Linked DNA regions of Oryctolagus cuniculus. The protein of the gene in region 2 interacts with the protein of the main gene of each other region in a biochemical or structural test. Links are inferred from orthologs where the notes say so. Each region holds a gene or a part of one and is shown on either strand. Other genes may lie near its edges.

Evidence for each region.
Region 1: the proteins of SIAH1 (region 2) and SNCA form a complex in vitro, tested with the Homo sapiens proteins (3 studies listed by BioGRID, with this or other methods). The link is inferred for Oryctolagus cuniculus from reciprocal best matches to the Homo sapiens genes SIAH1 and SNCA.
Region 3: the proteins of SIAH1 (region 2) and SNCAIP form a complex in vitro, tested with the Homo sapiens proteins (2 studies listed by BioGRID, with this or other methods). The link is inferred for Oryctolagus cuniculus from reciprocal best matches to the Homo sapiens genes SIAH1 and SNCAIP.
Region 4: of the proteins of SIAH1 (region 2) and HIPK2, one has a biochemical effect on the other in vitro, tested with the Homo sapiens proteins (4 studies listed by BioGRID, with this or other methods). The link is inferred for Oryctolagus cuniculus from reciprocal best matches to the Homo sapiens genes SIAH1 and HIPK2.

Annotation. Positions count from the first base shown.
Region 1 is NC_091439.1:75,768,312-75,771,829, reverse strand, and holds part of SNCA (alpha-synuclein), read right to left. Parts: intron 445-3,518; coding exon 302-444; intron 1-301. UniProt on the Homo sapiens protein: Neuronal protein that plays several roles in synaptic activity such as regulation of synaptic vesicle trafficking and subsequent neurotransmitter release.
Region 2 is NC_091449.1:32,098,060-32,101,577, reverse strand, and holds the end of SIAH1 (E3 ubiquitin-protein ligase SIAH1), read left to right. Parts: intron 1-1,322; coding exon 1,323-2,173; 3' UTR 2,174-3,254; downstream 3,255-3,518. UniProt on the Homo sapiens protein: E3 ubiquitin-protein ligase that mediates ubiquitination and subsequent proteasomal degradation of target proteins.
Region 3 is NC_091437.1:12,130,577-12,134,094, reverse strand, and holds part of SNCAIP (synphilin-1), read right to left. Parts: intron 757-3,518; coding exon 1-756. UniProt on the Homo sapiens protein: Isoform 2 inhibits the ubiquitin ligase activity of SIAH1 and inhibits proteasomal degradation of target proteins. Isoform 2 inhibits autoubiquitination and proteasomal degradation of SIAH1, and thereby increases cellular levels of SIAH.
Region 4 is NC_091434.1:184,453,254-184,456,771, forward strand, and holds part of HIPK2 (homeodomain-interacting protein kinase 2), read left to right. Parts: intron 1-1,700; coding exon 1,701-1,861; intron 1,862-2,448; coding exon 2,449-2,919; 3' UTR 2,920-3,518.

The DNA.
Region 1 (3,518 bases), on a different chromosome or scaffold from region 2:
TTAACATAAAGCATCCATTCTTTGTGAAATGTCATTGTTCCTTTTGGCATTTACCACATCGCTCATTTCATTAGTGCTCTTCCAGAAACTGAAACAGTCGTGATGACTGTACAATTTGCATGGCATTTCTCGGTGTTCATACCCTAAATACAAGCTCCATATGAAAGAAGTACTTTTTTCTGAGGAGAATCAGGCAGTACTCCCCCCACGGCAGTCATCTTGTTTCTGAGTTTCGCCTCCTTTGAGAATGAGCCATGATCTTGCGATAGTTTAAATATAACATCAAACTCACACAACATACCTTGCCTTGCTGGTCTTTTTTGACGAAGCCGGTGGCGGCTGCAATGCTCCCCGCTCCTTCCACTGTCTTCTGGGCGACTGCTGTCACACCTGTCACCACTGCCTCTCCAACATTTGTCACTTGCTCTTTGGTCTTCTCAGCCACTGGGGTGAATGAAAAGCAATAGCAGATTAAAGACAGCAGCAACTTTATAAAATTCTACTTCCACTAACAGTCAACTTCCATTCAGCCTGTATTTTTTTCTTTTTTTTTTTTAAGATTTTTTTTTTATTTGACAGATAGAGTTAGACAGTGAAGGAGAGAGACAGAGAGAAAGGTCTTCCTTCTGTTGGTTCACCCCCTAAATGGCTGCTGCACCGATTCAAAGTTAGGAGCCAGGTGCTTCTTCCTGGTCTCCCATGTGGGTGCAGAGGCCCAAGCACCTGGGTCATCCTCCACTGCCCTCCCGGGCCACAGCAGAGAGCTGGACTGGAAGAGGAGCAACCAGGACTAGAAACCGGCACCCATCTGGGATGCCAGCGCCACAGGCGGAGTATTAACCAAGTGAGCCATAGTGTAAGCCCCAGTTCAGCCTGTATTTACACAGGCTTTAGGCAATTGAAGGATCACAGGAAATAGTAGCTACCAAGATTTCTAAGTGAGAGGGATTACTCAAAATCTGCATCTTCACTGACATCTTGTTATAATCACACAGACTTTAGAAGGTGCCTCCTCTTTAATGATCACAAGTGTAGGCCCACAAGCAGCTTGGGTTTGACTTATTTTTAGGAAAGTTGCAGAAAGTAGCACTTCCAAAGTCAGATATAGTGGAATCAGACTCAGCAAGAAATTTATTTCTTTATTTCAATTTCAGGGCCGATTCTTCTATCTCAATCAGCAAGTTCATTTTCAGCAGATTGCTGAGCAACATGACACATTCTACCTACAGGTTGAGCATCCCTAATCTGAAAATTCAAAATTCTCCAAAATCTGAAACATTTGGAGTGCTAACATGATGGCACAAGGGGAAAATTCCACACCATGAGACTTTGTTTCATGTACAAAATTATTTAAAACACTGTATAAAATAGCCTCCAGGCCAGTCATATACGGTATATGTGATACTCAAATCATGTGTATAGACTTGGGTCTCATTCCCAAAATATCTTATTTGGTATATGCAAATATACCATAATTCCCCCCACCGAAACAAAAGAAATCCAAGATCCAAAACACTTCCAAACCTAACTATTTTAGATAAGGGAGACTCCAACTGTTTTTGTGCTCATACATGTTACTATCAAAATGCACAATGGCAGAGGAATGGTTAAGAAGGAATTCTGAACCTTTTATAAAATTTCAGTTTGTGAAACAGAAAGGTTCTTAATTATAAGATTGTCAGTAATTTTAATGGGAACAAAGCATCTAGATTTTAAGTTAATATGAAAATTAAGAGGCTTATTGAACATATAATTCACTTCCATAAAACAAAATATGATATAATAATTCAGTATATTTCTAAAACCAATTAAAAATTTAGAGAAGATGGTGTAAATAATGTAAATTTATAATCTAGAGATTTAATTTCTTATCAAAAACTCCCAAAGACATCCTAGAAATGTACCTGCTTGTGGAATCAAGTTTTCTATATTATTTCAATATAATTATATAAAGAAAGCCCAAATAAAATTTTAATTTCAATTAACTAAAAAGTTGTATGCAACCAAATATAAAAGATTCTATGCTGTTAATAATTCAATACAGGGGGCCGCAGCACATGGTGCAGTGGGTTAATCCTCTGCCTGCGGCACCGGCATCCCATATGGGCACCAGTTCTAGTCCCCGCTGCTTCTCTTCCAATCCAGCTCTCTGCTATGTCCTGGGAGAGCAGTGGAGGATGGCCCAAGTGCTTGGGCCCCTGCACCTGCATGGGAGACCAAGAAGAAGCAGTGCAGCTCCGGCCATTGCGGCCAGTTGGAGAGTGAACCAACGGAGGGAAGACCTTTCTCTCTGTCTCTTCCTCTCACTGTTTGTAACTCTACCTCTCAAATAAATAAATAAATAAAAATAATAATTCAATACAGAAATAAAACCATCCATTTCCATCCAACCTGCTATAACATCCATCCATGCCATGAAGCCTTTGGTCCTGCATCTCTTATTTGTCTACAGAATCTCTGCCCTCTTTCCTTCTGCTCCCACAAACTCATTCCTGTTCTGCTTTTTCCCCCAACATTCAGGAATTTGGGGTTTTGAGGGATTCATTCATTAGGCACTCCATTAAGAATAAAGCCATATTTTCATGTTTCACCATCCTTATATCCTCCTGGTGAGCCTCTCTCTGAGAAACATCTCCAAATGCTACTCGCGTGATCCTTTTCAGATCTTACACCACTAGTTTGGGGCGTCAATAATTAAACAGTGGCACAAGGCAATTTGTTTTCAAGTAGAGTGTTTGGGTCAAGAAAGCAAGGGTGGTGAGTAAGGACTCTCATCCAGGCACTGTAGGGAAGGGTGAAGCAGCCACACAGTCTAAAATCAACGAACCCACAGCAGGTGTTGTTCTCAGTCTGCCTTTTGCCCAGAATTCTGCAGGTTTGCCTAGTGACGTTGTGCCACTGAACATACTAATGTCTCTGAAGGAGTAACAGCTATTTACAATTCAAAGTTCAATTTAAATGCCAGTGAAAAGCTGTACTGGAAAATTTATGTTTTTAAACATTTCTGGAGTGTTGATCTTTTAAAAATGGTGAATTATGTATTTCAAGTTGTCATTTTTTCCTTTTTTAAGAACATGAACAGAAAGTTTTGCTTGAAATGAACATTTTCTTGTTATAAATCTCCCAGTAAGAAAAAAACAGATTTTGGTTTTTTTACAAACTCATAGTTTCTCTGCCCTTCATGAATTTTACAAAATCTAGGCAATCCTTTAGATAGAAACTTTTATCTATTATTTTAATGCATCCAAACTATACAGTAAAGTGTATTTGTTATGTAATTGCAACTCATGAGGCTTTGTGGCTGTAATGATACATAATTTAGGTATATTATAAAATGACAGCATATACAGGCGGCAATAATAGACATATGTACTAAGATTTCTTTAGGACTGACTTTGCTAGTATGTTCCCTGTTGCCTGTGAGCCTCCTTTTTATACCTTTGAGAACTTTCAGACTGTTTCCCTTTTCCCTGCTCATCAACACTCCAAAGAGGGATAAAACAAAAGCTAAGAAGACA
Region 2 (3,518 bases):
CTTTCTGCTCCTTCCCTTTGTGCATTATATCTGATCTGTATTGTGGAATGGAAGAACAGAATGACGTACTTTTCTCTGGACTGCAGAATCAAAACTTTTGAGGATGATCTTCCATTTTTTCCCCCTCATTCTTGAGGTGGGCGCTGATAACCTAGTGGATAATGGTTTGGGAGAAGACTTAGTTAATAGGATGGTAGCAGGTGTTTCTCCTTGGCCCCCTTCTTCTGTCCCCAAAATAAACCTCCAGAGCAGATACTATTCACCGTTAGAAAGAGTTAATGTCAGTGCAGATGATCCCATGGCATTTGAACTACACAAGGGTACTTAAAAAATGTTCCTGGAAAATGAAATTAAAAGATAAGTATATATTGGCACACGTTTTTTGAAATCTGTGTAGTTTTTTTCTCAACACATTTCCATGAGCATTTTTTTTTTTTTAAAGATTTATTTATTTGAAAGAGTTGCGCAGAGAGAAACGGAGAGTCAGAGAGAGGTCTACCATCTGCTGGTTCACTCTGCAATTGGCTGCAATGGCCGGAGCTGTGCTGATCTGAAGCCAGGAGACAGGAGCCTCCTCCAGGTCTCTCACGTGGATGCAGGGGCCCAAGGACTTTTGCCATCTTCTACTGCTTTCCCACGCCATAGCAGAGAGCTGGATAGAAGAAGAGCAGCCAGGACTCAAACCAGTGCCCATATGGGATGCTGGCATTGCAGGCGGCGGCTTCACCTGCTAAGCCACAGCACTGCTGGCCCCTCCATGAGCATTTTGAAGATTCATTGTATACAAGGATTTCAACATCTTTTGCACTGAAATAATGTTACCTTTTAATACATTTTCCATGAAATTTTTGTAGTGCCCTGCTGTAACTCTCCCCATATGTAGCTGTTCACAGCTGTCTCGGAATCAGAAAGAAACAGATAGAGGAATATCAGAGAGGGGGTGGAGTGGCAGTCACAACAGCTCTGATTGGATGTAGGCTGCTCACACAGCGTCTCCTGGTTGCTTATGGCTCATTTTCTGTTTCAGCATTTCTTACTCCCATTAAAGACAATTCTTAGCACTGTTTTTTAAAGGGGGGGTGGTGTCTAATTATGTTCTAGAACATTTTGAAAATGGTGTATAACTTACAACTGCTAATAATCAAAATGCACATTTAGTGTCATTTATGTTTTGTTTTTAATTCTATTTTTTATTTTTGCTCACAATAAATTTTGCATGAAGCTTAAAGTATTTCTGGCTTGTAAAAGTTACTGATATAGTAAGTAAAAAGTTGTAATTTTTCTCCTGCCTCCTTTTACTTTTTATTTATTTTTTATTGCAGAAATGAGCCGTCAGACTGCTACTGCATTACCGACTGGTACCTCGAAGTGCCCGCCGTCGCAGAGGGTGCCTGCCCTGACGGGCACGACCGCGTCCAACAATGACTTGGCGAGTCTTTTTGAGTGTCCGGTCTGCTTTGACTATGTGTTGCCACCCATTCTTCAGTGTCAGAGTGGCCATCTCGTTTGTAGCAACTGTCGCCCAAAGCTCACATGTTGTCCAACTTGCCGGGGCCCACTGGGATCCATTCGCAACTTGGCTATGGAGAAGGTGGCCAATTCAGTACTTTTCCCTTGTAAATATGCCTCGTCTGGATGTGAAATAACTCTGCCACACACAGAGAAAGCAGACCACGAAGAGCTGTGTGAGTTTAGGCCGTACTCCTGTCCGTGCCCTGGTGCTTCCTGTAAATGGCAGGGCTCTCTGGACGCTGTAATGCCCCATCTGATGCATCAGCACAAGTCCATTACAACCCTTCAGGGAGAGGATATAGTTTTCCTTGCTACAGACATTAACCTTCCTGGTGCTGTTGACTGGGTGATGATGCAGTCCTGTTTCGGCTTTCACTTCATGTTAGTCTTGGAGAAACAGGAAAAATATGATGGTCACCAGCAGTTCTTTGCAATTGTACAGCTGATAGGAACACGCAAGCAAGCTGAAAATTTTGCTTATCGACTTGAGCTAAATGGGCACAGGCGACGATTGACTTGGGAGGCGACTCCTCGGTCTATTCATGAGGGAATTGCGACAGCCATCATGAACAGTGACTGCCTAGTCTTCGACACCAGCATCGCACAGCTCTTCGCAGAAAATGGCAACTTAGGCATCAATGTAACGATTTCCATGTGTTGAAATGGCAATCAAGAGTTTTCTGGCCAGTGTTTAAAACTGTTGCATTCAGTTTCACAGAGAGCAAGGCACCCGACTGCCTGCCAACCTGAAACTCTTTGGGCAGGTGGAAACTAGACACATGAAGGTAAATAAAAAGAAAGGCTGTTAAATACAGGAAACAGTTGCATGTAGTAACACTAATATATTTAAAAATAAGTCAACAGTAAACCACTGAAAAATATATATATATACACCCAAGATGGGCATCTTTTGTATTAAGAAAGGAAGCATTGTAAAATAATTCTGAATTTTGTGTTTGTTGTAGATTGATTGTATTGTTGAAAAATACTGGTTTTTGTTTTGTTGTTCTGTTTCTTCTGTTATTGCGTGTGTCTGTGTGTGTGTGTGTGTGTGTGTGTGTTTCCCTAACTGACAAGCCATCTGAGTGGTCTTGGACCACTGCTTTTTCCCCTTTGTGAGTCAATACATAGTGCTGCTGTGTTTCCTTGTGTGTGTATATTTGCTAATTTTTATTAATTCTAGTTTTTCATTAAATAAACTTTCTTTTCTGTAATTCAGGTTTTCCTCACTTTTTTGGGTACCTTTTAAAGTCAGTGTCTTCCTGCCCTGATAACTGTTTATGGTGAAGTTTGTGTTCGGGGTACGTTCTCGTTCCCCATTCGTCAGTTTAGCAGACACATTTCATCAGCTGCTTGGTGAAGACAGGCGTTCCCAGAGGAAAGGGAACATTGGGAAACCCGTCAGAAGCCACCCAAGCAGCCACGAGATGGTCTTCTCTCTCCTTTTCGCACTCACTACTTCGTCTCCATTTGAGTCCTATATACAAGTTAGGGAATGCATTCTGATTCATATAAATACTGAAAATCAGGCTTTTTTTTTTCTTTTCCAAATATTGTAGACAAATCACATGATCACATGTTCAAAATTTGTTCTTGTATTTATTGGTTTTGCAAAAAGAAGGCATCGTCACATACAGTGTTTGTAATTAAAGTAAATCATTTGTTTAAAAAAGACAGTTTGCAAAAAATATGTTTTTGGTCTTTTATAATTCTCATTAAAAGAATATCTGGCAAACGGAAAACTCTTAATGTGTCTGCTTTAGCTGTAAGATTGGTAAGGCCCGGGCGCGCTGCCGCCCTGCCCCGCTGCCGTCCTGCCCCGCCCCACCTCAGGCAGGCAGCGTGATGCAGCCGGCGCTCAGCCGCGTGGCCTCCAGACACAGCCATACTTTCTCACCCTCCCCTGCACGCTGCCTGCTTCTTGTGCCTCCGTAAGAACAGCCACCACTTAAAATACTCCCTTTCTCCCCTTTAGGGAACAAAAGTGCGTTTAGTATTTCATAGCT
Region 3 (3,518 bases), on a different chromosome or scaffold from region 2:
CCTCCAGCGTGGCTTCTGCGGCCGAGCACGGCAGGCGGAAGGCCCGGAGCTGGCAGTCGGGCAGTGCCTTCTCGACCTTTCCGCCATGTGGTTCTGCGAAGGCCTTGTTTGGGAAGTCTCTGCTCTGGGTCTCAGGCTCATACGCGGAGACACAAGAAACCAGAGCGGGCGCGCTCTCGGATTCTTCCGGGCCCAGCTTGTGCTGATCGCGGATGGCGGTGGATGCTTTTCTCAGGTGAGGGCTTTTCACGGGAGACAGGACACAGAAGGGCGTTGTGGTGGGTGGTGGGTTCTCGGCACCTCCTGCACAGCAGGCTTTGCCGGTGGCGAGGCCGTTGATGGTCGTGCATAAACCCAAAATCCTTTTGTCTGAAGCCACCTTGCTGAAACAGGCAAGCTGTTGGTTGGACTTGATGTAAGGCACATCCAGGATCTCATCCATGTCGAGGTCATAGTGCTCCAGCTCGCCCAGCGCCGGGCTGGGCTCCGAGCCCTTCCCAGGCAGGCCCCCGACTCCCTCTTCGGGGCCCAGCTCCTCAGGCTGGGGGCCTGCATCAGAATCACCCCCTTTCTGGAGGTCCCCCTTCTGGTTCTTTTGATCATCGCTTTCATTGCTGTCCAGGGTCTCCGGCTGGTGTTTCAGTGGGGAAACCCGTTTCACCGGGCGGAACTTGCTATATACATCGGCGATCCCCGTGGGCTTCTGTGTGTTGGTAATAAGAGTTGAGACGCCACAATTCCAGCCAGAGCCGGAAACTGTTCATGGAAAGGTTAAAAGGGGACACCATTAAACTGGAATGCCAAACACACCTTGACCATGCATGCAGAACCTCTACTCAAGGGAGGTTCAAGTTCAGCCCCTGTGTAGGGGCCTGGCTTTGAGAGCACATACTTCCAACAATTCATCCTTGGCACTGGATGACTGCTAAAGGCAGGAGAAAGTTCTGACATTGGTGACTCAAAGTAGGAGTGGGCACGTGTGGCACGGCAGCTTCAGCCGCTGCTCAGGATGCCTGCACCCCATATTGGATGCCTGGTTCCGCCCCCAGCCTCTCTGCTTCTGATCCAGGGTCCTGCTGGGAGGCCTGAGGGACAGTAGATAATGGTTCAAGTATGGGAGTCCCTGTGGCTCACACAGGTGACCTGGATGGAGTTCTTGAATGGCAGCTTTGGTCCAGCCTTGGCAGTTGCGGGCATTTGGGGAGCAAACAGCAGATGGAAGATTTCTCTATCGTTCTGCTTTTCAAACAAATTAATCTTTAAAATTTAATTAGTAGTGGGGCTGGCGCTGTGGCGCAGCGGATTAACGCCCTAGCCTGAAGTGACGGCATCCCATATGGGCGCTGGTTCAAGACCTGGCTGCTCCACTTTTGATCCAGCTCTCTGCTATGGCCTGGGAAAGCAGTAGAAGATGGCCCAAGTCCTTGGGCCCCTGCACCCACGTGGGAGACCGGGAGGAGACTCCTGGCTCCTGGCTATGGATCAGCACAGCTCCGGCCACTGCGGCCAATTGGGGAGTGAACCATTTAATGGAAGACCTCCCCCCACTCCTGCCTCTCTGCCTCTCCTCTTTCTGTGTAACCCTGACTTTCAATTAAAATAAATTTTTTTTTCTTTGACAGGCAGAGTGGACAGTGAGAGAGAGAGACAGAGAGAAAGGTCTTCCTTTACCATTGGTTCACCCTCCAATGGCCACTGCAGCTGGCGCGCTGCGGCCGGCGCACCACGCTGATCCGAAGCCAGGAGCCAGGTGCTTATCCTGGTCTCCCATGGGGTACACGGCCCAAGCACTTGGGCCATCCTCCACTGCACTCCCTGGCCACAGCAGAGAGCTGGCCTGGAAGAGGGGCAACCGGGACAGAATCCGGCGCCCTGACCAGGAATAGAATCCGGTGTGCTGGAGCCACAGGCAGAGGATTAGCCTATTGAGCTGCAGTGCCAGCAAAATAAATAAATCTTAAAAAATTTAATTAGTAGTAGTAATAACGGTAAAAGCAGACATACATTTAGGATCTATATTTCGGGCAGGATTTCATCATGTGCTACCACTTTGGAAAACAGGAGTAGAGGTAGGATTCTCTGTATTAATCCACACTGATTTAGGGAGAAAAGAGAGGTTGCACACTCATCCACACAGCCATCCTTGTCTAGGCACCCTGGTCAGCCACCACGCAGGGGTTTTTGTTTCATTTCGTTTCGGCGCATGGCTCAGCAACACAATGCACTAAAGGCATCCTCTTTAAGATTTAATGCTGCCCTGCACTGCTGGGAAAGCCGGAAACACCAGGAGAACACACTGGGGAAGGGGGGATGGGGCAGGCAGCATTGTGTGCTGCTTCTTTCTCTGCAAAGTTTAGATAAAGATCAAGTGTTGTTTGCTTGAGATGGAGAGGGAAGTGAGACAGTCAGACACACGTGGAAGAGAAAGAATCACCACTCTCCCAGTTGGTGTCACAGGAGAGGGCCCCCAGCCCCGGCACCTCCTCCGGGCCGGCAGACGCAGCCCCCACAGCCACGATGACAGCACTGCCTCTCTGGGCCACTCCTCTGACCCAGGACCCTACTTTATGGGCTTCTACTCCCTGCTACTTCCTTTGCTCCATTCCCCACCACCGGGCTGGATTTCAGAGCATGGCCTCCAGTGGGCCCTCTGGTCCCTCTCCCCTCTGTGGTGCAGCAGCAGGTGGGACATGTTCACCAACACACGTGTACTTGTGTGTTCTTTGCTATGGGGGCTCACAGAAAGAAGAGAACACACCAAGGGTATGTATGTACTCAGGTCTACAACTTCTGCAACAGGCCCAGGCCACGAGTGACTCTTGGGTTGAAAGTGCACCTTATTAAAGTCCCCTAAATTTAGGCGGCTGGTCACTCTCCTTCCTGCTAGGATGTGTGCTTGGGATTCAGAGACGTTCTGGAATCAAGCTGGGGTCGTCGGCTGTGGACCTGAATGCTATGTAATTCTCAATGAGTTCTTTCTCCCAGAGGGACTAACTTTGGCCTGGGGTTCCAGAGGGTCTGCACTATGGGGGCCACCACCAAGGCCTTTCAGAGTTTAGAAAGGGGCTACTGTGACCTGTGCAGTGAGGGCTCGTTCCCTCCAGTAAGCAACGTGTACGGGAATGCTTCGGAAGGTAGCAGGCATGTGGATGGTGGCAGGTCACACTCCTCTTCCCTCCTGTCGACTCTGATTCACACAGTGCCTGGCACAGAGCAATCAACAAATGCTAGAATGCGAGTTTCAATCTCACTTAGCATGGCACTTTCAATCTTTTTTTTTTTTTTTTAAAGATTTATTTATTTATTTGAAAGTCAGAGTTACACAGAGAGAGGACAGGCAGAGAGAGAGAGAGAGAGAGAGAGGTCTTCCATCCGCTGGTTCACTCCCCAGATGGCCGCAACGGCTGGAGCTGTGCCGATCCAAAGCCAGGAGCCAAGGGCTTCTTCCAGGACTCCTATGAAGGTGCAGGGGCCCAAGGACTTGGGGCATTTTCTACTGCTTCCCCAGGCCACAGCAG
Region 4 (3,518 bases), on a different chromosome or scaffold from region 2:
ATTATTCATGCCTCATTAATATTTAGCACCCGCTGCCCCTGGAATGGCCAGATCGCCAGTTTAGCGCTGACTGCCACGGGATACCTGCTGACACTGCTCTAGGCTTCTGTTTTCCTCCGAGACGCTCAGGCCCCGCGTCCACCGCTGTGAAATGTGACCTGTCTCGGGGTATTCTGCGACCCATCCTTGCCACTTCTCCTTGCGGGTCACTTTGCAGGGTCTTCTCTTGAATGCCTCCTTGGGCACCCTCCTCAAAAGCATGTGTCAGAGCTGGGGAGTGTGCAGCAGCTGTCTGTGCGTGGGGAGCGCCCCAGATCCCCTGTGCCCCATGACCGTGTGACCTCGACTTGGTTTCTCATCTGGCTGTGCTAGACACAGGTTCTCGAGAATATTGGGTTTCTAGAGATGCCTCCAAGGGGGCCAGCATTCTGCATCCCAAGTGCTGTGGTCCCACCTGTGCCCGCCCCATGGAGTCCCCGCTGCTGGGGGCCGGCAGGCACAGACCACTCAATGCCAGAACTGACCGACAAGAGTTATTTCACAGAAATGTCTGTGCCCTCTCGTTGTCATTCCACAAAAGGCCCGCAAAATCAAAACCCTAAGTTCCTGTGCAAAGACGCAGTCTCCCCTGTGTCGGCCTGGTGCTGTTGCTGCAGCTGTCCCGGTGGTTGGCCTCCGGTGCAGGGCTCTGGCCAGCCCTCTGGGTGCACTGATCTGAAATTTCACTCCAGACCCCCTCCTGTAGACAGGGCTCTGACCGGCCTGTGGCCGAAAGCCTGCGTGAGCATTGGCTGGTGCTGGCGGCAGACTGGGCGAGCAGCAGGCCACTCCACATCGGCCCACCTGACTCTTGGACACGTGACCCTGCCAGTGGGCAGTTAGCTCTGAACTCGGCGTGTGGTGGCCCATCAGCCCCCTGTCTGCATGACCTACGCTCCCTCATTCCCACCCTCAGCCTTCTCTCGGCCGCTCCTGAGACACGGCAGGACCTCAGGAAGTAGTTGTGGGATGGGTTAAAACAGCCTCTGAAGGGGCCTGGCAGGACCTCTAGGAGCCATCCTACCTGCAGTGTCACCCGGCTGCTCAGGGCCCACCCACCAGCAGTGTCAGCAGCACCCCAGGCGCCTGTTAGAGTGCAAGCTGTGGAGCCCCCTGCTGGCAAGGAGCCCCGCGTCTTTCCACCTGGGGCCTCTTGCGTGTAGCCCGGGAAGAGCCCTCGTGTTTGGCCATGCTCGGCCCTCATGCCTTTCCCCGCTGACTACGTCTCATCCAAGAGACCAGACCGGGGGCTCCGAGGGGCCGTTGCAGCCACTGTTGCTCACCTTGGTTGCTCCTAGGCACAGTCTGCAGTACCTGCACAAGGGCAATACCTGCCGAGGGCACTAACAGGAGTCCCTCCAGCCGCCTCCCAGATGCTGGAGGCCACGTGGCCAGGGAGGGCCAGCATCAGCCCCCCCCCCCCCCGGCTGTCATCTCTCTCTGCTTCTCCTGCACCTGTCCCCTCTTTCTTAGCTTTATCCCCTCATTTGCAGCCTTGGCCACCCTCTAGACCAAGGGCTAGACAGCTACAACCCAGCTGCCCACGCAGAGTGAAGGCCAAGTCCTAGCTGAGTCTGGGGAAGCTGAGGCCAGGGTTGGCCTGGCCAGTGTGGGCGTCCTGGAGAGCCCTGACCTGTGACCTCCTCTTCCTCCCGCCACAGCAAACACCAGTCACCACGCGTCCTCCTACAAGCCCAAGTCCTCCAGCAACGTGACCTCCACCAGCGGTCACTCTTCAGGGAGCTCCTCTGGAGCCATCGCCTACCGACAGCAGCGGCCAGGCCCCCACTTCCAGCAGCAGCAACCCCTCAATCTCAGCCAGGTGAGTCCCTGCCTGATGGCCGGCGGCCCCCACGGCAGACCCTCACACCCCACAGAGAGCGGCACGGGGCGGAGGCTGCCCCGGCAGGGTCGCTCGTGGGGAAGCTGACAGCACTGGTGCGTGGGTCGCACAGTGCTGCCTCACCGTGGCAAAGCACTCGTGACTTGGTGCCGAGCTTAGACTAGGAGCCCACAGAAGGCTGCCTCCCCCAGCAGAGGCAAGACACCAACCAGGGAGAGCCCTGCTGTGCACCTCACTGCGGGGCGGGGCGGGGTGGGGGGGGGACACACTCCAGAGACCCACCCAACCTAGGGCAGGAGAGTCCTAGCCTCAGCCATGTGTCCCAGCAGCTTAGCTTCTCCAGGTAGGAGACAGTTGATGGAACTGCCCATGGCAGCGTTTCCGAGGGCGCAGGCTTCCTGCCCGGGGACCCCAGCCGGTGAGGGGCAGGCCTGCTTGCTCCACCCAGTGCAGGCTCATCTTCACTCGCTCCATATCCCAAGGCCAGCACCCCTGTCCCTCCTCCACTCCCGGCCTCCCCCGTGTACCCCCTCACGCCGCCCTCTCTGGGTGCCTCTGCTCCGCAGGCTCAGCAGCACGTCACCACGGACCGCGCCGGGAGCCACCGACGGCAGCAGGCCTACATCGCTCCCACCATGGCTCAGGCACCCTACTCCTTCCCGCACAACAGCCCCAGCCATGGCACTGTCCACCCCCACCTGGCCGCCGCCGCAGCTGCCGCCCACCTGCCCGCCCAGCCCCACCTCTACACCTACACAGCGCCTGCTGCCCTGGGCTCCACCGGCACCGTGGCCCACCTGGTGGCCTCCCAAGGCTCGGCGCGCCACACCGTGCAGCACACTGCCTACCCGGCCAGCATCGTGCACCAGGTCCCCGTGAGCATGGGCCCCCGGGTCCTGCCCTCTCCTACCATCCACCCCAGCCAGTATCCAGCCCAGTTCACCCACCAGACCTACATCAGCGCCTCTCCAGCCTCCACCGTCTACACTGGATACCCACTTAGCCCTGCCAAGGTCAACCAGTACCCTTACATATAAGCACTGGAGGGTGGGGGAGGAGACGGCGGAGAGGGCGGGAGGAGGGGTGGGGGAGGAGACGGGGCCAGAGAGGGCGGGGAGGAGGGTGGCCAGAGCTCCTGGGACCGAGGAGGGAGCTGGCTTTTTATGCTGAAGACACCGCACACAAACAATGCAAATGGGAGGGGGCGGGGACTGGGACGGACGCAAAGGAAACTTGAACCAGGAAGTGAGGAGGACTTAGAGCAGAGAAGAGAACATTTTAAAAAGGAAGGGATCAAGGAGGGGGAAATCTATGCTTTTTATTTTAAAAAAGAAAAAAGAAAAAAAAATGTTGGCAACAAAAAAACACAGCTCATGCACCCACTCTGCACCAAACTGGAAAGGAGAAGAGAGCCACAGGAAGATCCCAGAGGGGCCCAGTGTGGGGAGAACTTTTATCTATGAACTTTTCAAAGATTATTTTCATACGACGGCAAGTGGCATTGAAGAACTTGCTGTCAGGGACACCTGCTGTGCAAATCCAATAGATTTTTAATTAACTGAACATACGAATTAGGGATTTTTCCAGAACTCTAAGAGTCGACACCCCCTCCAGAATGAGGAGGCTGACATTTCGG